Elephas maximus indicus: one gene and its partner. The protein of the gene in region 1 interacts with the protein of each later gene in a pairwise test. Links are inferred from orthologs where the notes say so. Each region holds a gene or a part of one and is shown on either strand. Other genes may lie near its edges. The genes, in order: myomegalin and CCDC146.

Region 1 (12,187 bases):
TAGACTGTGAATGCCTTGAGGACCATGTGTTCTTTATCTTTGTATTCCTAGGGCCTTGTGCTCCCTCATAACCAAAACCAAACCCTTTGCCATGGAGTTCCAACTCATAATGGCCCTATAGGACAGAGTAGAAATGCCACAATAAGGTTTCCAAAGAGCGGCTGGTGGATTGAAATTGTCAGCATTTGCTTAGCAGCTGAGCTCTTAACCACTACACCATGAGGCCTCCTTGTGCTCCCTCATAGTAGGTGTTAAACATTTCATTAATCGAATTGAATAAAGAAGATATCTTGAGGAAATGGAGCACCCTAGGTAAATTATATATAGAGGAGATAGTATCTTTGATGAACTGTTAATAATTTAGTTCAATTTCTGAGGGATTTTTATTCTAATAAATTTAACTTGATTGGCGAGAGGAGGAAATAGTACTTATAACCTGGACAACATTTGACAGTTATTTACTACTGGTTTTCTTAGCAATGTTTACGCAAGTTCATGTCTTATCTCTACAACTACATGGAAAACATGTCAAAAGCAATTGTTTGTTTCACTTCTTTATACTTCTCTGTAGTGGCTAGCATTGTGCTTTGAATGTAATAGTACAATATTTCTTTTTTTCTTTCTTGAACATTTCATTGTTTAGGTGAAGTTTTACAGAGCCAATCAGTTTCCCACTCAACAATTTATGCACAGCTTGTTTCATGACATTGACTGCAAAGCCCTGAATATGTCAGCACTCTCTCCCCTTCCTCCCGGGGTTCCCATGTCCTTTCGCCTAGCTTTCCGTCCCCTACTTTCCTTCTGAACTTTGCTTTTGGGCAAATGCTGCCCTTTAGGTCTCATATAGTTGATTATTCTGAGGTACACATTCCTCACTGGTGGTATTGTTCTTTTTTATAGGCTATTTTTTTTTTTTTTCTATAATGTGATCTCTGGGTGTGATTATAGTTCCAGGTTTGAAGGGTGTCTAAGGACCATAGGCTTGGAAGTTCAACCATTTTCTATCAGACCAGTAAGTCTGATCTTATTTATGAGTTTGAATTTTGTTCTACATCTCTTTCCCACTCTGTCCATAACCTACTATTGTGGTTCCAGACGGAGCAGTTTGTAGTGGTAGCCGGGCCCCATCTACTTCTTTTGGACTCACAGTAGTGGAGGCTATAGTTCATGCAGTCCATTAGTCCTTTGGACTAAATGTTTCCTTGACTTTTAAGTATTCTTTACTCTTCTTTGCTTTGGAGGGAAAGAGAACAATTGTAGGACAATATTTCAGGGTTGAATCATTGCTGCCTTTCAATGGGATAGGTGAAATTGGATTTATTTTTGGAATTCTGAATTGTCATTTTAAATATCTTTAACATATTTTTCTTCTATAAGATTAAGAAGGTTCAATTAGATGAACTTTAAGATTTATTGGCACTGTGTATTTTTTTAATGTAAAACGTACTTCCACTCTTTACCAGTGGTTCTCAAACTTCAGCAAACAAAATGCAAAGAATAATTTTCAAAAAGCTAAAAACATGGCTCTCGTACAAATATAAAGTGAGCACATTTCAAAGATTAATTTAAGTTACTGAAGAGTTATTGGTGAAGGAACCAGCAGGATAGTAAAGCTGAGTCAAGTGGAGAAAAGAATGCTGGAATAAGATCTTGAAGTTATAACAAAATGGTCAATTGTCGATAGGTGCTGTCAAGTCAGTTCCAACTCATAACAACCCTATGTACAACGGAACAAAACACTGCCTGGTCCTGTGTCATCCTCACAATCATTGCTACGTTTGAGCCCATTGTTGCAGCCACTGTGTTAATTCATCTTGTTGAGGGTCTTCCTCTTTTTTACTGAACCACCACTTTACCAAGCATGATGTCCTCCTCCATGGAGTCTTTCCTCCTAATGTCCAAAGTACGTGAGATGTAAGTCTTACCACCTAGCTTCTAAGGAGCATTCTGGCTGTGCTTCTTCCAATACAGATACGTTCATTCTTCTGGCAGTCCATGGTATATTCAGTATTCTTCACCAGCACCATAATTCAAATGCATCGACTCTTCTTCAGCCTTCCTTACTCATTGTCCACCTTTCACATTCATATGAGGCAATTGAAAATACTTGAAAATCCTTGACAATTTCAATCTTTTCTCGGTTTATCATGACGTTGCTGCTTATTGGTCCAGTTGTGAGGATTTTTGTTTTCTTTCTGTTGAGGTGTAGTTCATACTGAAGGCTGTAGTCTTTGATCTTCATCAGTAAGTGCTTGAAGTCCTCTTCACTTTCAGCAAGCAAAGTTGTGTCATCTGTGTATTACAAGTTATTAAAAATAAGTTTTCCTCCAATCCTGATGCTGCGTTCTTCTTCATATAGTCCAGCTCAGCATACAGATTAAATAAGTATGTGAAAGGATACAACCCTAACACACACGTTTCCTGATTTTAAAACCTGCAGTACCCCCTTATCTATTCCAATGACCACCTCTTGGCCCATGTACAGGTTCCACATGAGCACAGTTAAGTGTTTTGGAATTCCCATCCTTCGCAGTGTTATCCATAATTTGTTATGATCCACACAGCTGAATGACTTTGCACAGTCAGTAAAACACAGTTAAACATCTTTCTGGTATTCTCTGCTTTCAGCCAAGATCCATCTGACATCAGCAATGATACCCCTCATTCCACGCCCTTTTCTGAATCCATCTTGAATTTCTGGCAATTCCTTTTTGATGTACTGCTACAACCATTTGTGAATTATCTTCAGTAAAATTTTACTTGCGTGTGATATTAATGATATTGTTTGATAATATCTACATTCTGTTGAATCATCTTTCTTTGGAGTGGGCACAAATATGGATCTCTTTCTGTTGGTTGGCCAGGTAAGTGTCTCCCAAATTTCTTGGCATAGATGAGAAAACACTTCCAGTATTGCATCTGTTTGTTAAAACATCTTGATAGGTATTCTGTCAGTTCCTGGAGCCTTGTTTTTCACCGGTGCCTTCAGTGCAGCTTGAGCTTCTTCCTTCAGTACCACTGGTTCTTGATCATATGCTATCTCTTGAAATGATTGGATGTCGGCCAATTCTTTTGATATAGTGACTGCATTCCTTCCCTCTTCTTTTGATGCTTTCTGCATCATTCAATGTTTTTGCCCATGGAATCCTTCAATATTGCAACTTGAGGCTTGAATTCTTTCAGCTTGAAAAATGCTGAGAGTGTTCTTTCCTTTTGGTTTTCTAACTTCAGTTCTTTGCACATTTCATTATAATACTATGCTTTGTCTTCTTCAGCTGCTTTTGAAATCTTCTGTTCAGCGCTTTTGCGTCATCATTTCTTCCATTATCTTTAGCTACTGACAACCAAGAGCAACTTTCAGAGTCTCTTCTGACATCCATTTTAGCCTTTTCTTTGTTTCCTATCTTTTTAATGACCTCTTGCTTTCTTCATGTATGATGTCCTTGATGTCATTCCACAACTCATCTGATCTTCAGTTGTTCGTGTTTAATGTGTCAAATCTATTCTTGAGATGGTCTCTAAATTCAGGTGGGATACATTTAAGGTTATATTTTGACTCTTCTAGACCTGTTTTAGTTTTCTTCGGCTTCAGCTTGAACTTGCATATGAGCAATTGATGGCCTGTTCTGCAGTCAACCCCTGGTCTTGTTCTGACTGATGATACTGAGCTTCTCAATCATCTCTTTCCACAGATATAGTTGATTTGATTCCTGTGTATTCTATCTGGTGAAGTCCACGTGTATAGCTGCCATTTATATTGTTGAGAAAAGGTATTTCCAATGAACAGGTCATTGGTCTTGTAAAATTCTATCATGAGATCTCCCATGTTGTTTCTATCATCATGGCCATATTTTTTAACTCCTTGTCCTTCTTTCCAACTTTTGCTTTCCTATCAGCAGTAATTATCAATGCATCTCAATCGCATGTTTGATCAATTTCAGACTGCAGAAGTTGGTAAAAGTCTTCAATTTCTTTATCTTTGACGTTGGTGGTTGGTGCACTAATTTGAATAATAGTCATATTAACTGGTCTTCTTTGTAGGCATTGGATACTATCCTATCACTGACAGCATTGTACTTCAGGATGGATCTTGAAATGTTCTTTTTGACAACGAATGCAATACTGTTCCTCTTTAATTTGTCATTCCTGACATAGTAGACCATATGGTTGTCTGATTCAAAATGGCTGATTCCAGTCCATTTCAGCTCTCTAATGCCTCGTATATCTATCTTCAAGTGTTTCATTACATTTTTGACAACTTACAACTTTTCTGGATTCATACATTCCACATTCTGATTAGTAATGGATGTTTGCAGCTGTTTCTTCTCATAGCACATCAGCAAATAAAGGTCCTGAAAGGTTGACTCTACTTTGAGGAGGCAGCTCTTCCCCAGTCATATTTTGAGTGCTTTCCAAACTGAGGGGCTCATCTTTTGGCACTATACAAACTGTGGGACTCATCTTCCAGTACTGTTAGACAGTGGTCCACTGATGTTCATAAAGTTTTCACTGGCCAAGTTTTTAAGAAGTAGACTGTCAAGTCCTTCTTCCTAGTGTTTCTTAGTCTGGAAGCTCTGCAGAAACCTGTCCACCATGAGTGACCCTGCTGGTGTTTTCAATACCAGTGGCATAACTTCCAACATCACAGCAACATGGAAGTGACCACTGAATGACAAACTGACAGACAACTGGTGGGTCAATGTCTTACTGGGCAGTAAAGCTATAACCTTTGATGTTATGCTTTTTTTTTTTTTATGCAGACAGAAATGACTTGCATCTTTCCTGAATAAAAATGATTTGCAATTTACTAATCTTCTACAAATATCTAAATTCAATGAGTCTGGATTCTATTCAATAGCAAATAGTAAGTCAGGTGAAACTATGGCCCCAAATAGGCAGATGAACAGGATTATTAGCACTCTAGTATGATCTTGAATGGACGCTTAATGATCCTTTTGACTTATCTTAAAACTTTAGATACTTTTTCTTGAGTATGAGGATTATCACACTCTCAGAGATTCTGATTCAGTACTTCTGTGGTGGGATGCAGGAATCTCCATTTTAAACAAACATCCTAGGTGATTCTGACACGAATAGCCTATGGATCCTTCTTTAAGAGAGATTGAAGGTGGTAGCCAGGACTTTATTTAGGATTAGTGGTTTTCTTCTAGTTCAGAGACTTTTTTAATGCCAAGAAATTGAAAGATTGATGCGTTAACTTACTGAGAAAAAGCTAACAGTCTCCATTTACTTCATTAGGGTGCTGTGCGGCCCTTTTGAAGCTTGTATCCCATATTTAGTGTAAGTCTAAGCTTGAAGGAAAAATGGCCAAAAATCCAACTGTGAAAGTACAAGTTCAGTACTTAGTTCATTTATTAATAAGTATCAGTGCTTAATCATGCCTGCCATGAAGCAAGTGTTCAATAAATGTTACTAATCACACTAAACAAAACACCCTTCATCATCAATTCATTAAGGCCACCAATAAAGCCATAACCTCACAGAATTTATTGAGCCTTTATTTTATTCCAGGCGTGCTATCAGGTAAATTTTTTTAATGTTTATTTACTTTTTAAACATTTATCAACACTTATTGTGTGCCAAGTGCTTTGTAAGATGTTGGTTATACTGAGTGAAAAAAGACCTAATCTTTGTCTTTAAGAAGTTAATAGTCTAGTGGAAAAGATAAATAAGTGAATCTACAACAATGGTGTGTTAAATGGCAGAGATGTGCTTTGGGTGCTGCTATAGAGGCATAGAGATGGAGCACCTACATAAGGTTAAGGGATCAGGAAAGGCTTTCCTAAGAAGGTAACACATAAATTGCTTTTTAAAGGGTAAGTAGGAGTTAAATAGGTCTCTGGGTGGCACAGAAGGTTTGTGCTTGACTATTAACCTGAAGACTGGTCATTTGAACCCACCCATCATCTGTGGAAGAAAGGCCAGGTGATTTGCTTCAATAAGGATTACAGCCAAGAAAACCCTATGTAGCTGTTCTACTCTGTAAAACACATGGGATCACCATGAAATTTAATTGACTAAACAGATCTGCGTATTAGCTCAGATAGTAGAGTGCTCGCTTAGCATGCAAGAGTTGGCGGGATTGATACCTGCATTGTCTAGTTAGAAGCCCTGGTGGCATAGTGGTTAAGAGCTACAGCTGCTAACCAAAAAAAAAAAGGTCAGCAGTTCGAATCCACCGGGTGCTCCTTGGAAACCCTATGGAGCAGTTTTACTCTGTCCTTTAGGGTTACTATGAGTCAGAATCCACTCAATGGCAATGATTTTTTTTTTTTTTTAACACCAATGGGTTGTTTTCTTTTTCTTTTTTTGGGTTTTAGGAGTTAACTAGATAAAGAAGGTGGAGACAGGTATTCCAAGCAGAGTAAACAGGAAATGTAAGGCAAGGAGGTATGGAAGAGCCTGATTTAGACCCAGAGAATTAGATGTAGTTTACTGTGGTTAGAATGAAGGTAGTGGAGGTACAGGATGGAAGAAAGAGATCAGTGGAAGAGGAGGCCAGAAAAGATGGCAGAAGCCATTCAAGACAATCCTTGAATACTAAACTAAGTGGTAGAACTTTATCACAAAATCTCCAAGGAGCCATTGAATGGTTTTAAGTAGGTGAGTGTTTCATGAAGAGGCCTCTGGAAGCAGTGGGAAGAAGGGTTTGGAGGTGGGCCTTAAGAGAGGCAGTTGGAATCACGATGGGAGCGAACACTTAAAGATACAGATATAGTAAAGAAATAGAAATAACAACTGGATGTGGTGGATGAGTGAAAAAGATAAAAGTCTCTGATCACTACCAGGTTTGAGGTTTGGGCAGCTGGATGGATGGGAGTGCTGGGGTTAAAAAACAGAGGACGGAGTGACAGGTTAGAGTGGAAGGATGGGTTCAGCTTGGCTGTCACTGAGTCATTCAACAGTAATGGCTATTGCCTGTGAACCTTGGGATGCGTGGTATCCAGCTGCCCTGTGGATTCTATGTAGGCCCTGTGCTACACAGAATAATGTAGTAGAGTCATTCTGTTTTGCTGTACTCTCGCTGGTCTCTGTTCCTAGAGGACATATGGAATAGGAGAAAAGGGTTTAGCAGAGGATTTATTTGACCTATGACCCCTTTCTTTTTTTCCCAGATGATAACAGTCCGTTGACTTGATGGTGGATACCAAGACATATTCTTTACTATGATTTCTTCATGAAAAATGGCATCACAAAGTCTCAGCTGAAAGGAAAACTGGGGTTGTTTAGCAGAGAGTTATTGACAATTACTAAAGGGAAAATGAAAGGAAATGGAGACTTAAAAAGAGGGAGAAAGGGAAGAAAGAAGGGGAAAGAGGCTAGCCAACAACCTGGAGAAGTGATGAATTTGAGGAGAGATTAACAGAGAGAAAAAAGCGGATAAAAGATAAGAGGATAACAGATTTGGGCAAGGAGGAAGACAAAAGCCAGGAAAATATGTAGAGAGGGGGTGAGAAAAGAAGGAACTCATCTGAGGTTGGAAATTGAGGAAGGTGGCATTGGAGCATATAGAAAAAAAAAGAGTGGGGTCTGGGAATGAAGGGATCTCCCGGTTGAGGTGGTGGGTGGAGAGAGAATGGGGAGGTAACAGAGGGTGAAGGGGCAGCGGCGGGTGTTTGCGGGAGCCGGACCAAAGCAATCTGGGCGGAGCAGGTGGCAGAAGCAGCGGTGAAAGGGCAGGATCCGGCCAGGTCTCCGCCTCAACAGTGGCAACTGGAGGGGCTGCTCATCCCCGGCCAGAGGGATGCGCCCTGGCAGCCCAGGAAAGCCATAAGAAAACGAAGCAGGAACGGAAAACAGGATTGGAGAGGCCAGGAGAGAAAAATTCATGAAGAGGGCCGACAGCGGGTCCAGCTGCCGCCGCCGATGTGACTGCAACGGTAGCTGCTGCAGCGTATCCCGCCGGGCGCAACACGCGCCTTACTGGGCCGGGGACGCCGGGCGAGCTCCCCCGTCCCGGCGGCATTTCCCTGGCCCAGAACGGCGGCGCTCCGAGCTGTCCTGGAGCTGGGCGTTGGCGGCCGAGGAGGAAGAAGCAGCCGCGGCGGCCGCACCCTGGATGAGGTGAGGGCTCCGCCAGCTTCTGGCGCTTGGAGACCAGGAGGATGCGAATCGCACCGGGCTGTTGGTACGCCATGCTGTGGGTAGGCTGAGGCTGCGGGCCGTGGACCCGGGTTCCTGGAAAGGGTTGTTGCAGAGTGACAGCTGCCTGGCGAAGGTTGGAGGGCAGGAGAGGTGATGGGGCCTGTGATGGGCACCAGAGGGGGAGAGGTGATGCGGTGTTGCCTAGAAATAAAGCGTGGGGCTGGACTGTTGGGCCTAAAGCTCAGGAAGCCTGGTCTCTATACCAAGGGCTTCCCTTGATATGTAGACAAGGCTTTGTAGCTGGAGGTGAGGTTGAAGGCTGTGCCTGTTGGGTCGAGCCAAAGGAGAGGAGAGATGAACATGATTCAGGAGGACATTCCAGGATGGAAGCCTTAAAAAGAGCCTTAGGGGCGGGAAAAGAAGATAAAGGATCAGGAAATGTCATGGGTACACAACTGAAAGAGTCCTCAGTGCCTTCTCTTGCACCGCCTTCTGTTTTGGATATTCATCTTAGATACAGACAGCTGGGTGGGGGTTGGTGATGGCTTTTTCTTCCTTGACCACCTCCTTTAGCCTGCAGGGCTGGAGCCCTGCCTGTTGGCTGGATCCCAGGTCCTGCAGGACAAGCTCCATTCTAAACCGGGTCACTTCCTCTGCTCTTAGAAGAGGGAACAGATTAGGGACAAATTTTCTTCATGTAGCAGCAGGATGAAAATCTGTCTGACATACAATTTTCTAGAGAAGAGAGTGTGCCTTTTTCTCAATAAGCATTTCCCTGGCGTAGCATTTTTAGCTTTCTCTTTCATGGGAAGTCAGTACAGTACTCATATAAACTACAAGGCAACAGTGGTTTCTGTCTCCAAGCTGCAATTAACTCGCTGGGATTTTAGAAAAGTTATTTAATTTCTCTAGGCCTCAGTTTCCTATGCATAAAATTGGGATTTGGGTTAAAAGAGTATCACAGAACTAAATAGTCTCTGGTTCTGTATTCTGTTTTCAGGACACTTTTATTTGTGAATGATGAAACTCTATTCACAGACACAAAGAAGTTGAAGGAATCCCTTGTCCTTAGCCCCTGTGCCAAAGGCAGGCTGCGGTGCAGGGAGCGGGTCACTGGGGAAAAGGAGGGAGGGGAGTGAAGGTGGGGATGGGGGGAAGTTGGGGATAAGGGGAAGGATGGAGTTCACAGGTGGCTTATGCAGACCTGGATGTGGCCTGTGTGTTGCAGTTTAGAAATTCACTCCATGGGGTTTTCAATGGCTGTAATCTTAAAAAAATAGATGACCAGGCCTTTCTTCAGTGGTACGGCTGGATGGATTCAAACCACCAACCTTTCAGTTATTAGTTGAGCACAAACTGTTTGCACCGCCCAGGGACCGTACACACTGACAATATGAACCAGTTGGTTAATGGCATCTGGACGTGGTGCTGAAAGGCCGAGGAGCAGGGAGGGCTTCACATAGGACATGAATCTTGGCTGGCCTGACAAGATATGAAGCCGGGGTTGGGTGGGAAGCAAATCCTAGCAGAGGAGCACTAGCAGGTGTATGGCCCTGGGAAAATGCCTTATTGGATGAGGCCTGTTCTGTGATAGACCTTTTCCAATGCTGACCCTCTTTCAAGTATACAATTATTAAAAATGAGGAATTAAGTGAGCTGTCAGATGGTGACAATCTGTCTCAATGTACTTATTTGAAGCATTGTAGATTCCAGAACACTTAATTGTGCTCATGAGGAACCTATACATAGACCAAGAGACAGTCATTTGAACAGAACAAGAGGATACTGTGAGGTTTAAAACCAGGAAAGGTGTGCCTCAGGGCTGTATCCTTTCACCATATCTATTCAGCAGACAGATGCTGAGCAAATAATCTGAGAAGCTGGACTGTATGAAGAAGAACTTGGCATCAGGATTGGAGGAAGACTTATTAACAACCTGTGATATACAGATGATACAACCTTGCTTGCTGAAAGGGCAGAGGACTTGAAGCACTTACTGATGAAGATCAAAGACCACAGCCTTCAGTGTGGATTATACCACAATGTAAAGAAACAATCCTTACAACTGGATCAATAAGCAACATCATAATAAGCAGAGAAGAGATTGAAGTTGTCAAGAATTTCATTTTACTTGGATCCACAGTTAATGCCCATGGAAGCAGCAGTCAAGAAATCAAACAATGTATTGCACTGGGCAAATCTGCTGCAAAAGATCCCTTTAAAGTGTTAAAAATCAAAGATAGCACTTTGAGGACTAAGGTACACCTGACCCAAGCCATAGTATTTTCAGTCACCTCATATGCATGTGGAAGCTGGACAATGAATAAGGAAGATGAAAAAAGAAACGATGTGTTTGAATTATGGTGTTGGCAAAGAATACTGAATATACCTTGGACTGCCAGAGAACACACAAATCTGTCTTGGAAGAAGTACAGCCAGAGTGCTCCTTAGAAGTGAGAATGGCAAGACTTCATCTCATGTGCTGTGGACATGTTATCAGGAGGGACCAGTCCCTGGAGAATGACATCATGCTTGGTAAAGTAGAAGGTCAGTGAAAAAGAGGAATACCCTCAATGAGATGGATTGACACAGTGGCTGCAACAATGGGCTCAAACATAGCAATGATTGTGAGGATGGCACAGGTCCGGGCAGTGTTTCCTTCTGTTATACATACGGTTGCTATGAGTTGGAACTGACTGGATGACACCTAACAATAACAACAGAGTGTACATTCTCCTTGGATAGCCAGGAACCAGCAGACAGCTCTCAGGGGAAAGTGATTTTAGAGACAGTTCAGTAAGTTCCTAACATCAAACTTCAACTATTACATTCCTCTAGCCATTTCTTTCTCTTTCTCACTCTTTTTTGTTATTATTATATTTTTTATAGCTTTTGAGGGATAATTGGCATATAATAAACTGAATAAATTTAAAGTGTACAATTTGATAAGTTTGACATATGTATATACCTATGAAATCACCACTATGATCAAGATGATGAACATATATATCATCCCCAAAACTTTTCATCTGCCTCTTTACAATCTCTCCCTCCTATCTCTTCCTGCCGTGCTAATATACAGGTAACCACTGATCTACTTTCTGTCACAATACATTAGTTTGCACTTCCTAGACTTTTATGTAAATAGAATCATACCGTATGTATTCCTTTTTTATGTGGCTTCCTTCAGGGTAATTATTTTGAAAGTTGTCCTTATTGTTGTGTGTATCGATAGTTCATTTTCTTTTGGTGCTGAGCAGTATTGCAGTGTATGGATATACCACAATTAGTTGTTGAGTTGATTCCAGTTTTTGGGCATTACAAATAAAGCTGCTGTTAACATTTATGTACAAGTCTTTGTGGGTACATACAGTTTCTTTCTCTTGGGTAAATTTCTAGAGGTAGAACGGAAGGTATATGTGTAACTTTTTAAGAAACTGCCAAACTTTTTTCCAAAGGGATTGTACCTTTTACATTCCCACTTGCAATGTATGAGAATGCCCATTTGTCCATACCCTTGTCAGCATTTTTACTTTCTTACCTTTTTTTATTATCGCCATTCAAAAATAGAAAAAAAAAAATCAATTGCTGTTGAGTTGATTCTGACTCATAGTGACCCTATAGGACAGAGTAGAACTGCCCCATAGGGCTTCCAAGGAGCGGCTCTGGATTTGAACTGCTGAACTTTTGGTTAGCAGCGGAATACTTAACTACTGTGCCACCAGGGCCCCAAAGCCATTGTAGTGGGCGTGAAATGATATTATGGTTTTGATTTGCTTTTTCCAAATGACTAATGATGTTGAGCTTCCATGTGCTTAGTTGTCAATAAGTCTCCATAAATTTAAAAGGATTCAAACCATAGAAAGTGTGTTCTCTGACCACAATGGAATTAAAACAGAAAGAACAGAAATCAGTATTCTGATTTCAATACCGAAATCAATAACAGAAAGAATAAAATCCTCGAATATCTGGAAACTCAACACACACTCTTAAATGACCCATGGAACAAAGAAGAACCAAAAGAGCGATAACCCACTGCCATCAAGTTGATTCCAACTCATAGTAACCCCATAGGGCTTGG
Region 2 (12,105 bases), on another chromosome or scaffold:
CACATGCATATGAGATGAGTAGAAATACTAAGGCTTGGGTCAGCCACACCTTAGTCCTCAAGATGACATCTTTGCTTTTTAACACTTTAAAAAGGTCTTTTTGTACCAGATTGGCCCAATGCAAAATGTTGTTTGATTTCTTGACTGATGCTTCCATAGCCGTCAATTCTGGACCCATTTTACTTGGATCCATGGGTTTATTATTAGGCATTTCAGTTTATTCAATTATTTACCATTATAAATAACTGTGTAAAACAGAATTCCTCAAACACACATTTTTTGCACATTCCTAATTTTATGCTTATGCTAAATCCCCAAATGTATAATAACTGGGTCACAGATACACATATTTTTTAAGGTTCTTTATGGTTACTGCCACCATGTATCTGTTAGTTTGTTGTACCGCGGTGACTTGCATGTTGCTGTATAGCCACAGAACATTGTCTGAAACGGTGCTGGAAAATGAGCCTCTCGGACTGTAAGGCACTCAAAATATGACTAGAGAAGAGCTGCCTCTCAAAGTAGAGTTGACTTTAATGACATGGCTGTAATCAAGCTTTCTGGACCTTCACTGGCTGATGTGGCACAACTCAAAATGAGAAGAAACAACTGCAAACATCCATTAATAATTGGAACACAGGAAGCACAAAGTATGCATCTAGAAAAATTGAAAGTCGTCAAAGATGAAATGGAATGCATAAAGATGGACATCTTAAGCATTAGCGAGCTGTAATGGACTGGTATTGGACATTTTTAATCAGACAATCATAAGTTCTACTATGCCAGAAAGACAGGTTGAAGAGGAATGGCATTGCATTCATCGTCAAAAAAAAATTTCAAGATCTATCCTGAAATACAATGCTGTCAGTGATAGAATAATATCCATATGCCTACAAGGAAGACCAGTTAATATGACTATTATTTAACCAACCACTATTGCCAAAGGTGAGGAAATTGAAGATTTTTTACCAAATCTAACAGTCTGAAATTGATCAAACATGCAATCAATATGCATTGATAATTGCTGGTGATTGGAATGTGAAAGTTGGAAATGATGAAGAAGGATTGGTAGTTGGGGAATACGGCCTTGGTGACAGAAAGGATACCAGAGATCCCATGAAAGAATTTTGCAAGACCAAGGACTTCTTCATTGCAAATACCTCTTTTCAAAATATAAATGGCAACTGTACACGTGGACCTCGCTAGACGGAATACACAGGAATCAAACTGACTACCTTTGTGGAAAGAGACAATGGAAAAGCTCAATGTCATCAGTAACAAGGCCAGGGCCTAACTGCAGAACAGACCATCAATTGTTCATATGCAAGTTCAACCTGAAGCTGAAGAAAATTAAAACAAGTCCATGAGAGCCAAAATATAGCCTTGAGTATATCCCACCTGAATTTGGAGACCATCTCAAGAATAGATTAGATGCACTGAACACTAATGACTGAAGACCAGATGAGTTGTGAGAAAGCACCAAGGACATCATACACAAAGAAAGCAAAAGGTCATTAAAAAGACAGGAAAGAAAGAAAAGACCAAAATGGATGAGAAGGGACTCTGAAACTGCTTTTGAACGTCGAGTAGCTAAAGTGAATGCAAGAAATGATGAAGTAAAAGAGCTGAACAGAAGATTTCAAAAGGCAGCTTGAGAAGACAAAGTAAAACATTAGAATGAAATGTGCAAAAAGATCTGGAGTTAGAAAACCAAAAGGGAAGAACATGCTTGGCATTTCTCAAGCTGAAAAAACTGAAGGAAAAATTCAAGCCTGGAGTTGCAATTTTGAAGGATTCTATCAGCAAAATACTGAATGACACAGGAAGCATCAAAAGCAGATGGAAGGAATACAGAATTACTGTACCAAAAAGAATTGGTTGATGTTGATCCACTTCAGCAAGTAGCATTTGATCAAGAACCAATGATACTGAAGGAAGAAGTCCAAGCCACGCAGAAGACACTGGCAAAAAACAAGGCTCCAGGAATTGACTGAATGCCAATTGAGATGTTTTAACAAATGGATGCAACGCTGGAGGTGCTCACTTGTCTATGTCAAGAAATTTGGAAGACAACTACCTGGCCAACCGACTGGAAGAGATTCATATTTATGCCCATTCCAAAGAAAGGTAATCCAACAGAATGTAGAAATTATCAAAAATACCATTAATATCACTCCCAAGTAAAATTGTGCTGAAGATCATTCAAAGCAGTTGTAGGACATTGACAAGGAACTACTAGAAATTCAAGTTAGTTTCAGAAGAGGATGTGGAATGAGGGAAATCACTGCTGATGTCAGATGGCTCTTGGCTGATAGCGGAGAATACCAGAAAGATATTTACTTAATGTTTTATTGATTACGCACAGGCATTTGGCTGTGTGGATCAGAACAAACTATGGATAACACAGCGAGAAATCGGAATTCCAGAACATTTAATTGTTCTTATGCGGAACCTGTACTTAGAACAAGAGGCAGTCGTTCAAACAGAACATGAGGATACTAAGTGGTTTAAAATCAAAAAAGGTATGTGTTGGGGTTGCATCCTTTCACCATACTTATTCAATCTGTATGCTGAGCAAACAATTCGAGAAGCTGGACTGTATGAAGAAGAATGTGGGATCAGGATTGGCGGAAGACTCATTAACAACCTGTGATATGCAGATGACAGAACCTTGCTTGCTGAAAGTGAAGAGGACTTGAAGCACTTACTGATAAAGATCAAAGAGTACAGCCTTCAGTATGGATTACATCTCAACAAAAAGAAAACAAAAATCTTTACAACTGGACCAATAAGCAATGTCATGATAAATGGAGAAAAGACTGACATTGTCAAGGCTTTCATTTTACCTGGATATTAATCAATGCCCATGGAAGCAGCAGTCAGAAAATCACATGACGTATTTTATTGGGCAAATCTGCTGCAAAAGACCTCTTTCAAGTGTTAAAAAGCAAAGGTATCACTTTGAGGACTAAGGTGCACCTGGCCCAAGCCATGATATTTTCAATCACTGCATATGCATGGGACAGCTGAACAATGAATAAGGAAGAATTGATGCCTTTGAATTATGGTATTGGCACAGAATAGTGAACATACCATGGACTGCCAGAAGAACAAACAAGTCTGTCTTGGAAGAAGGACAGCCACAGTGCTCCTTGGAAGCAAGGACAAAGTCTCACATACTTTGGACACATTATCAGGAGGGACCAGCCCCTGGAGAAGAACATCCTGCTTGATAAAGTAGAGGGTCAGGGAAAAGAGGAAGACCCTCAATGAGATGGACTGACAAAGTGGTTGCAACGATGGGTTCAAGCATAACTAAGATTGTGAGATGGCGCGAGATCAGGAATGTTTCACTCTGTTGTACTTAGTGTTGCTATGAGTTGTAACCAACTCAAGGGCACCTAACAACGACAACATGCTTATTGCTAAATTGTCCTTGGGAAAGTTTGTACTAACTTATACTTCAACCAGTAGTATGTTCATAACCTCAGGAATGGCTTTTTTTTTTTTTTTTTAAGTGAAGAGGTAAAAATACAAATATTTTTGTATTTGAGAAAATTTAAATATGACTCTCCATTCATATAGTGAATAATTTATTTCCTTCAAAGGTGTCAAGAAGATAGAAGGATCTTTTTTTGCGTCAGAAAAAAGAGTCAGACAGTATAGTTGTTTAACCTTAAGTGTTTTTTAAATCCGTTTCCTCATCTCTAATGTGAGGATGTTTAAATCTGTCCTAGTAAACCCAGTGTTTTGTGAGGATACAGTGAAATAACGCATGTGAACATGCTTTGAAACTATAATGTTATGGCAGTGTAATGGATTGCTTTTTGTGTGCCTTTCTAGCCATGGTCTTGTAACTCCCACTAGGTGATTGGGTGGGATCGTGTGATATGGTGATTGTGACCCACTAAATGGATTGGTCAGTTTCACCATCCTGCTGGGATTGAAACGAGCCACCCCAGAGGCAGGAAAGAGAAGAGCCCACCACCACCAGGGAAGAAGAGACCGGTAGGAGAGACCCACAGGAGATACCCTCAGGAGATGGCACAGTGGGCTTCACGGCCCATGGAGCAAGAAAGATGAGTGTCTGTGGGCAGAGATTGAGCGACCAGGGAAAAGCCTATGCCTGGCCCACGAATTTTGGATTTGCCTGCCTCCACAACCTCATGAGCCATTTGCTTTACATGGCTGGTTCCTGAGTTCTCTGAGATGTTGTAGACAATTAGGGAACCTAAAGACAGGAGGGAGAGTGCTGAAGGGAAAGGGCGTAGCTGATGTTAGAGATGATGGAGTAGTACAGAAGCTTGGAAAAGTTGGATATTTGGGACATCTTTAACCTCCACCTTATAGGAACCAGCTTTGTGCTGATTCTTGTAAAAGAAATTATTTGTTTAGTTATATAGATGGAAAGTAGTATTTTAATTTATCATTATTGATATATGCACAAGATTGGGTAGATGATTCATTAGACTGCTGTTTCTTTAAGTATCGTTAACCTTAATATCTTATATCAATCTTAATATCAATAATTTTCTCCATTTTCAACCTCAACATGATCAGAAAGGTGATTTTTAAATCAATTTTATTTAGTTTTCTTTTGTTTACTTGAGAAGAGAGAAACAATGATTATGCTACATAGCCAATTATGGCTCAGTTTCCAATTCCATTAATTTGGTTTGTCTCAGAAAAGGAAAAATTAGCATAGAATTATGTATTAAGGATTCATTTTAAATCTAAGAATATCTCGTACTTATACACAAAATTTGAGTGTATTCCCAACTTGTTTACATCAGTGCCTAACAGTTTTGTTTTCAATGTCAATAGATTTTCATAAAAAAGATAGTTTGAAGAAGGTCAGTCTGAAAAATTATGACCAGATGAAACACAAAGCCAAGGAGAAAATTAGTATTCAGTGGGCACTTGCTAAATCTAAAAGCTAGCACTCATCATGCCTTCACTAAAGGAGGAAAAATAAGAAGGGAGGAAGGACTAGCAAGACATAAAGGAGAAAAAAATAACTTAAAAAATACTAAATTTAAAAAAAAAGGTAATGTCTACCAAACAACCTTGCATCTTGGGCCCATGAAGTTGTTAGCCCAGACTATCTGCCTGCCTCGGTATCACTATTGCTCTCAAAAATTCTGCACTGCACTTGGCCAAGACTAAAATTACTGAAGGCATTCAGTTTCAGCACTTGCATTTTATTAAATCTCATTGTTTGCAGGGTGTCTTTGCTAAAGGGAATAATTTGCAGGAGGAGGTTGGAGCACAGAAAGGGAGAGACCAGGAAGAAAAGGAGATAAATCTTTGTCTTTCTTATTGCCCATAGAATAATAAAACGTAAAAGAGATCTTACAGAGTCATTTAGTACAATCCTTCACTCTAAAGCTGAAGAAACAGATCCAGGTGACACAAAGAGATCAATGGCAGACTCAGGAAAAAAAATCTGCTCTTCCCACAGCACCACCTTGACTCTCTTTTTTGTATCTTATTTTAGCCCCCAAACCGAGGACCATTAGTAATTAAAAAGATCAATATCGCTGCCAAAAACAGTCCTGATCTTTCAGGTTTTTCTTTGTAACTAAGAGACTGTGCTATCCCTAAAATAAAACATTGCAGTTTTGTAGGCTGTGCAACGTGTTTGTATTCATTATCTCATTTGATCCTCACAAAGACCCTGTGAGGGAAGGCAAAAAAGATATTATTGTCCCCATTTTAAGAATGAACAATTAATGGCCAGAGATGTCCAATGACTGGCCTAAGGGCACCTAGACTCAGGAAGGTGCCAAGACTCTAACGCTATTCCTAAATTTGCTACCAGAGAGGAAACTTCCCTCCACCCAAAACACCAATCTGGCTCTTTATCCTCTTGCCTAGGAAGTTTCCATCCCCAGAGGCGCTGCACTAGTTTAGGAAAGCTTGAGTCTAACCACCCACAGAGGATACTCCTAGTTTGATTCTAGTTCTCACCTTTAAAAGCGCAGTTTCTTATCCTTTCCCTTGGTCCTGCTCCTTATTTAGGCTCCTATTTTTATCTTTAGTTTTGGCCCCCTGGGTCTCACTTCAAAGCTCCACCCTCTCCAAAGAAGAACTCGCGTCCTAGGTATCCAAGGAGACCACACACACGCACACGGACTTGCCCACCTTTCCCCTTCAGCGCTTTCCATTGGTCAGATGGATTTCCATCTAGATTCTTTCGCCCCTCCAATGGCCAATGGGCTCGAGGCAAAGAGAGCGCGCCTTCCGTCCCAGTTCAAAACGTGCTCTCAGTTCGCTGTCTACGCTGCGAATTGCCTCCTGCGATTTGTAGTTTCCGATCTGGTCAGAGCCCTTGCATGTGTAACCGTGTAGAACTACCTATCCCGTCGGCCTTCGCGAAAGGGGAAGGGGTGAACTAGGAGTCCAGGTCAGGGTTGATTACTTAGAGCTTTGAAATTTCAACTTGCCTCTGCGGCTTGTGCGGCAGAGGTTTAAATCTCCCAGCAGAGTTGATAGGCTTGCTCTTGCTTCAGCATGCCCTCGCAAACGTCTCTCCTTTGACTTGAGGAGGCTCAGTGGCCAAGTCAGCCGCTGCAAGTGACTCTTCCTGTGGCTGAGGGGATCTGAGGGGGCGCGAGAGAGGCATGCCATGTTCGCCCCCTGCTCAGGCTGGGGGCGCGGCGGCCTTAGGCTCTGCCAGCTCCGAGTGTGGATCGGCGAGGCCGTTGAGCGCGGCACGTGTCGGGCTTACCAGGCTCGGCTGTACGGCTCGGGCGGGTGTGAGCGCGGGCCGGGCTCGGAGCCGAAGGTGACTCCCCCTGACCCCGAGCGCCGGACGCTGAAGGAGTGGACGCTGCTGGTGAGCCCGTTCGGCCGGCTCCTGGCGCGGCTCCCGTGCGACCTAACCGTGAAACCCCTCGACCCCCTCACGTACCCGGACGCTGACCGTGTGCTGGTGGCCGTGAGCGGCGTGGAGGTCGGGGCGCAGGGCCTGGAAGGCCTGCAGGTGAGGTACGACAAGGAGCGAAAGGAGATGGCCATCGTGTCTGAGACCATCGACCCCCAGGCCTCGGTGGAGGTGGAGGCGCCCCTGAAGTTCGGCAAGTTAAAACGGTTTGGGTCCCAAGGCACCCGTAGCGAAGCTTTCCTTAAATTACGCTGACGTGCACTTTTTTTTTTTTTAATATTTATTGTGCTATAAGTGAAAGTTTACGAATCAAGTCAGTCTCTCACATATAAACTTATATACACCTTACTACATACCCCCACTTACTCTTCCACTAATGAGTCATCCCGTTCCCACTCCCTCCTTCCAGTTTCTCCTTTCCTGACCTTTTTGCCAGTTTCTAAACCCCTCTACCCTCCCATCTCCCCTCCAGACAGGAGATGCCAACATAGTCTCAAGTGTCCACCTGATGCAAGTAGCTCACTCCTCATCAGCATCTCTCGCCAACCCCCATTGTCCAGTCCAATCCATGTCTCCTGAGTTGTCTTCAGGAATGGTTCCTGTCCTGGGCCAGCGGAAGGTTTGGGGACCATTACCGCCGGAATTATTCTAGTCTTAGACCATTAAGCCTGGTCTTTTTATGAGAATTTGGGGTCTGCATCCCACTGTTCTCCTGTTCCCTCAGGGGTTCTCTGCTGTGCTCCCTGTCAGGGCAGTCATTGGTTGTGGCGGGGCACCATCTAGTTCTTCTGGTTTCAGGATGAAAGTAGTCTCTAGTTCATGTGGCCCTTTCTGTCTCTTGGGCTCATGATTACCTTGTGACCTGGGTGTTCTTCATTCTCCTTTGGGTTGAGACCAATTGATGCATCTTAGATGGCCGCTTGTTAGCATTTAAGACTCCAGACGCCACACTTCAAAGTGGGGTGCAGAATGTTTTCTTAATAGAATTTATTTTGTCAATTGACTTAGATGTCCCCTGAAGCCATAGTCCCCAAACCCCCGCCCTTGCTCTGCGGACCTTGGAAGTACTCAGTTTATTCAGGAAACTTCTTTGCTTTGGGTCCAGTCCAGTTGTGCTGACCTCCCCTGAATTGAGTGTTGTCCTTCCTTTCACCTAAAGTAGTTCTTATCTACTATCTAATCAGGAAATAACCCTCTCCCACCCTCTACCCTTCCCCCTTTTGTAACCACAAAAGAATGTGTTCTTCTCAGTTTAAACTATTTCTCAAGATGTTATAATAGTGGTCTTATACAATATTTGCCCTTTTGCAACTGACTAATTTCACTCAGCATAATGCCTTCCAGGTTTCTCCATGTTATGAAATGTTTCACAGATTCATCGTTTTTCTTTATCGATTCGTAGTATTCCATTGTGTGAATATACCATAATTTATCCATTTGTCTGTTGATGGATACCGTGGTTGCTTCCAGCTTTTTGCTATTGTAAACAGTGCTGCGATAAACATGGGTGTGCATATATCTGTTCGTGTAAAGGCTCTTAGTTCTCCAGGATATATTCCGAGGAGTGGGATTTCTGGGTCATATGGTAGTTCTATTTCTAGCTTTTTAAGGAAATGCCAGATCGATTTCCAAACTGGTTGTACCATTTTACATTCCCACCAGCCGTGTATACGAGTTCCAATCTCTTCACAGCCTCTCCAACATTTATTATTTTGTGTTTTTTGGATTAATGCCAGCCTTGGTGGAGTGAGTTGGAAACTCATCGTACTTTTAATTTGCATTTCTCTAATGGCTAATGATCAAGAGCGTTTCCTCATGTATGTGTTAGCTGCCCGAATATCTTCTTTAGTGAAGTGAATGTTCATATCCTTTGCCCAATTTTTAATTGGGTTGTTTGTCTTTTTGTGGTTGAGTTTTAACAGAATCATATAGATTTTAGAGATCAGGCGCTGTTCGGAGATGTCATAGTTGAACATTCTTTCCCAGTCTGTAGGTGGTCTTTTTACTCTTTTGGTGAAGCCTTTGATGAGCATGGGTGTTTGATTTTTAGGAGCTCGCAGTTATCTGGTTTCTCTTCGTCATTTTTAGTAATGTTTTGTATTCTGTTTATGCCTTGTAATAGGGCTCCTAACGTTGTCCCTATTTTTTCTTCCATGATCTTTATTGTTTTAGCCTTTACGTTTAGGTCTTTCATCCATTTGGAGTTAGTTTTTGTGCACGGTGTGAGGTATGGGTCCTGTTTTATTTTTTTGCAGATGGATATCCAGTTATGCCAGCACCATTTGTTAAAAACACTATCTTTTCCCCAGTTAACTGACACTGGTCCTTTGTCAAATATCAGCTTCTCATATGTGGATAGGTTTATATCTGGGTTCTCAATTCTGTTCCATTGGTCTATGTGCCTGTTGTGTACCAGTACCAGGCTGTTTTGACTACTGTGGCTGTATAATATGTTCTAAAATCAGGTAGAGTGAGGCCTCCCACTTTGTTCTTCTTTTTCAGTAATGCTTTACTTCTCCGGGGCTTCTTTCCCTTCCATATGAAGTTGGTGATTTGTTTCTCCATCACATTAAAAAATGTCGTTGGAATTTGGATCAGAAGTGCATTGTATATATAGATGGCTTTTGGTAGAATAGACATTTTTACTATGTTAAGTCTTCCTATCCATGAGCAAGGTATGTTTTTCCACTTATGTATGTCCCTTTTAGTTTCTTGCAGTAGTACTTTGTAGTTTTCTTTGGATAGGTCTTTTACATCTTTGGTAAGATTTATTCCTAAGTATTTTATCTTCTTGGGGGCTACTGTGAATGGTATTGATTTGGTGATTTCCTCTTTGATGTCCTTTTTGTTGGTGTAGAGGAATCCAACTGATTTTTGTGTATTTATCTTGTATCCTCATACCCTGCTGAACTCTTCTATTAGTTTCAGTAGTTTTCTTGAGGATTCCTCAGGGTTTTCTGTGTATAAGATCAAGTCATTTGCAAATAGAGATAATTTCACTTCTTCCTTGCCAATCCGGATGCCCTTTATTTCTTTGTCTAGCCTAATTGCTCTGGTTAGGACCTCCAGCACAGTGTTGAATAAGAGCCGTGATAAAGGGCATCCTTGTCTGGTTCCTGTTCTCAAGGGAAATGCTTTCAAGCTCTGTCCATTTAAGATGATGTTGGCTGTTGGCTTTGTATAAATGTCCTTTATTATGTTGAGGAATTTTCCTTTTATTCCTGTTTTGCTGAGAGTTTTTATCATGAATGGGTGTTGGACTTTGTCAAATGTCTTTTCTGAATCAATTAAGATCATGTGGTTTTTGTCTTTTGTTTTATTTATATGGTGGATTACATTAATTGTTTTTCTAATATTGAACCCACCTTGCATACCTGGTATAAATCCCTATTGTTTGTCGTGAATTTTTTTTTGATATGTTGTTGAATTCTATTGGCTAGAATTTTGTTGAGGATATTTGCATCTATGTTCATGAGGGATATAGGTCTGTAACTTTCTTTTTTGTGGTGTCTTTACCTGGTTTTGGTATCAGGGATATGCTGGCTATATAGAATGAGTTAGGTAGTATTCCATCCTTTTCTATGCTTTGAAATAGCTTTAGTAGTAGTGGTGTTATCTCGTCTCTGAAAGTTTGGTAGAACTCTGCAGTGAATCTGTCCGGGCCAGGGCTTTTTTTTGTTGGGAGTTTTTTGATTACCTTTTCAATCTCTTCTTTTGTTATAGGTCTATTTAGTTGTTCTACTCCTGATTGTGTTAGTTTAGGTAGGTAGTGTGTTTCTAGGAATTAATCCATTTCTTCTAGGTTTTCAAATTTGTTAGAGTACAATTTTTTGTAATAATCTGATATGATTCTTTTAATTTCAGTTGTGTCTGTTGTGGTATGGCCCATCTCTTTTCTTATTCGGGTTATTTGTTTCCTTTTCTGTATTTCTTTGGTCAGTCTGGCCAATGGTTTATCAATTTTGTTGATTTTTTCCAAGAACCAGCTTTTGGCTTTGTTAAGTCTTTCAATTGTTTTTCTGTTCTCTAATTCATTTAATTCTGCTCTAATTTTTATTATTTGTTTTCTTCTGGTGCCTGACGGATTCTTTTGTTGCTTGCTTTCTATTTCCTCAAGTTGTAGACAGTTCTGTGACTTTGCCTGTTTTCTTCTTTATGTATGTGTGCATTTATTGATATAAATTGACCTCTGAGCACTGCTTTTCCTGTGTCCCAAAGGTTTTGATAGGAAGTGTTTTCATTCTAATTGTATTGTATGAATTTCTTTATTCCCTCCTTAATGTCTTCTATAACCCAGTCTTTTTTGACGAGGGTATCGTTCAGTTTCCAAGTATTTGATTTCTTTTCCCTGATTTTTTCTTGCAACTTATTAATTTTTCCACTATGTTCTTGAATAATCTTTTTGAGTTCTTCAACTGCTTTATCAGTGTGTTCCTTGGCTTTTTCTGTAGATTGCCTTATTTCATTTCTGAGGTCATCCCTGATGTCTTGAAGCATTCTGTATATTAGTTTTTTATATTCTACATTTGGCAATTCCAGGATTGTATCTTCATTTAGGAAAGATTTTGATTCTTTAATTTGGGGATTTGTAGAAGCAATCATGGTCTGCTTCTTTATGTGGTTCGATATCGACTGCTGTCTCTCAGCCATCTATAAGATATTGTAATGATTTATATTTGCCCACTGACTCTTATCTTCTTGTTTTGTTTTGTTTCAGTATACCCAGATGGGGTACTAGATTGTGCTGTCTTGATTGTTGTAGCGGTCGAATCACTTATGTCCTATTACCAGCTGGTTTGAGCTGTTACTGGGTATATAAGCCTAAGAGTCCATTCACTATTCTTCAATAGAATCAGCTTAGGTGTTCTGATTTTGGGTCACCAAGTGTGTGGTGTAGACTGTCACCTATTAACTTAGAGGAGTAGTGGTGATAGTTGTGTGCACCAGATCCTAGTAGCGGCAGGGGGTCACACTCCAGGGCGGGCAGGGTGCTGACAGCCTTCCCCCACGTGCCAGTGAGGTAGGTGTGTCTCTATTCCTAGAGCACTTTGATGGGTGGACTCTGCAGCTGTACCTTAGGCACCCAATGCTTGTACCTCTAAAGACTGGTAGGCATCACTATCCTCAGACCCCTTTAGCAGGTGGCTAGGTGGTTTGGGTGGAGCTTCAGCTCTCAGTTCCCTGCTCTGGATCAGTGAGGGCTCTGTTTAATAGGTAGA

What was found.
Region 2: the proteins of myomegalin (region 1) and CCDC146 interact in binary tests that used the Homo sapiens proteins (3 or more experiments, as listed by UniProt). The two-hybrid records come from large-scale screens. The link is inferred for Elephas maximus indicus from reciprocal best matches to the Homo sapiens genes PDE4DIP and CCDC146.

What each region holds. Positions count from the first base shown.
Region 1 is NC_064821.1:159,485,197-159,497,383, forward strand, and holds the start of myomegalin, read left to right. Parts: upstream 1-7,700; 5' UTR 7,701-7,849; coding exon 7,850-8,085; intron 8,086-12,187. UniProt on the Homo sapiens protein: Functions as an anchor sequestering components of the cAMP-dependent pathway to Golgi and/or centrosomes.
Region 2 is NC_064826.1:46,803,572-46,815,676, reverse strand, and holds the start of CCDC146 (coiled-coil domain-containing protein 146), read right to left. Parts: upstream 6,090-12,105; 5' UTR 5,971-6,089; intron 1-5,970. Other genes in the region: protein FAM185A, read left to right, coding at 6,629-7,079. UniProt on the Homo sapiens protein: Essential for sperm flagellum biogenesis and male fertility.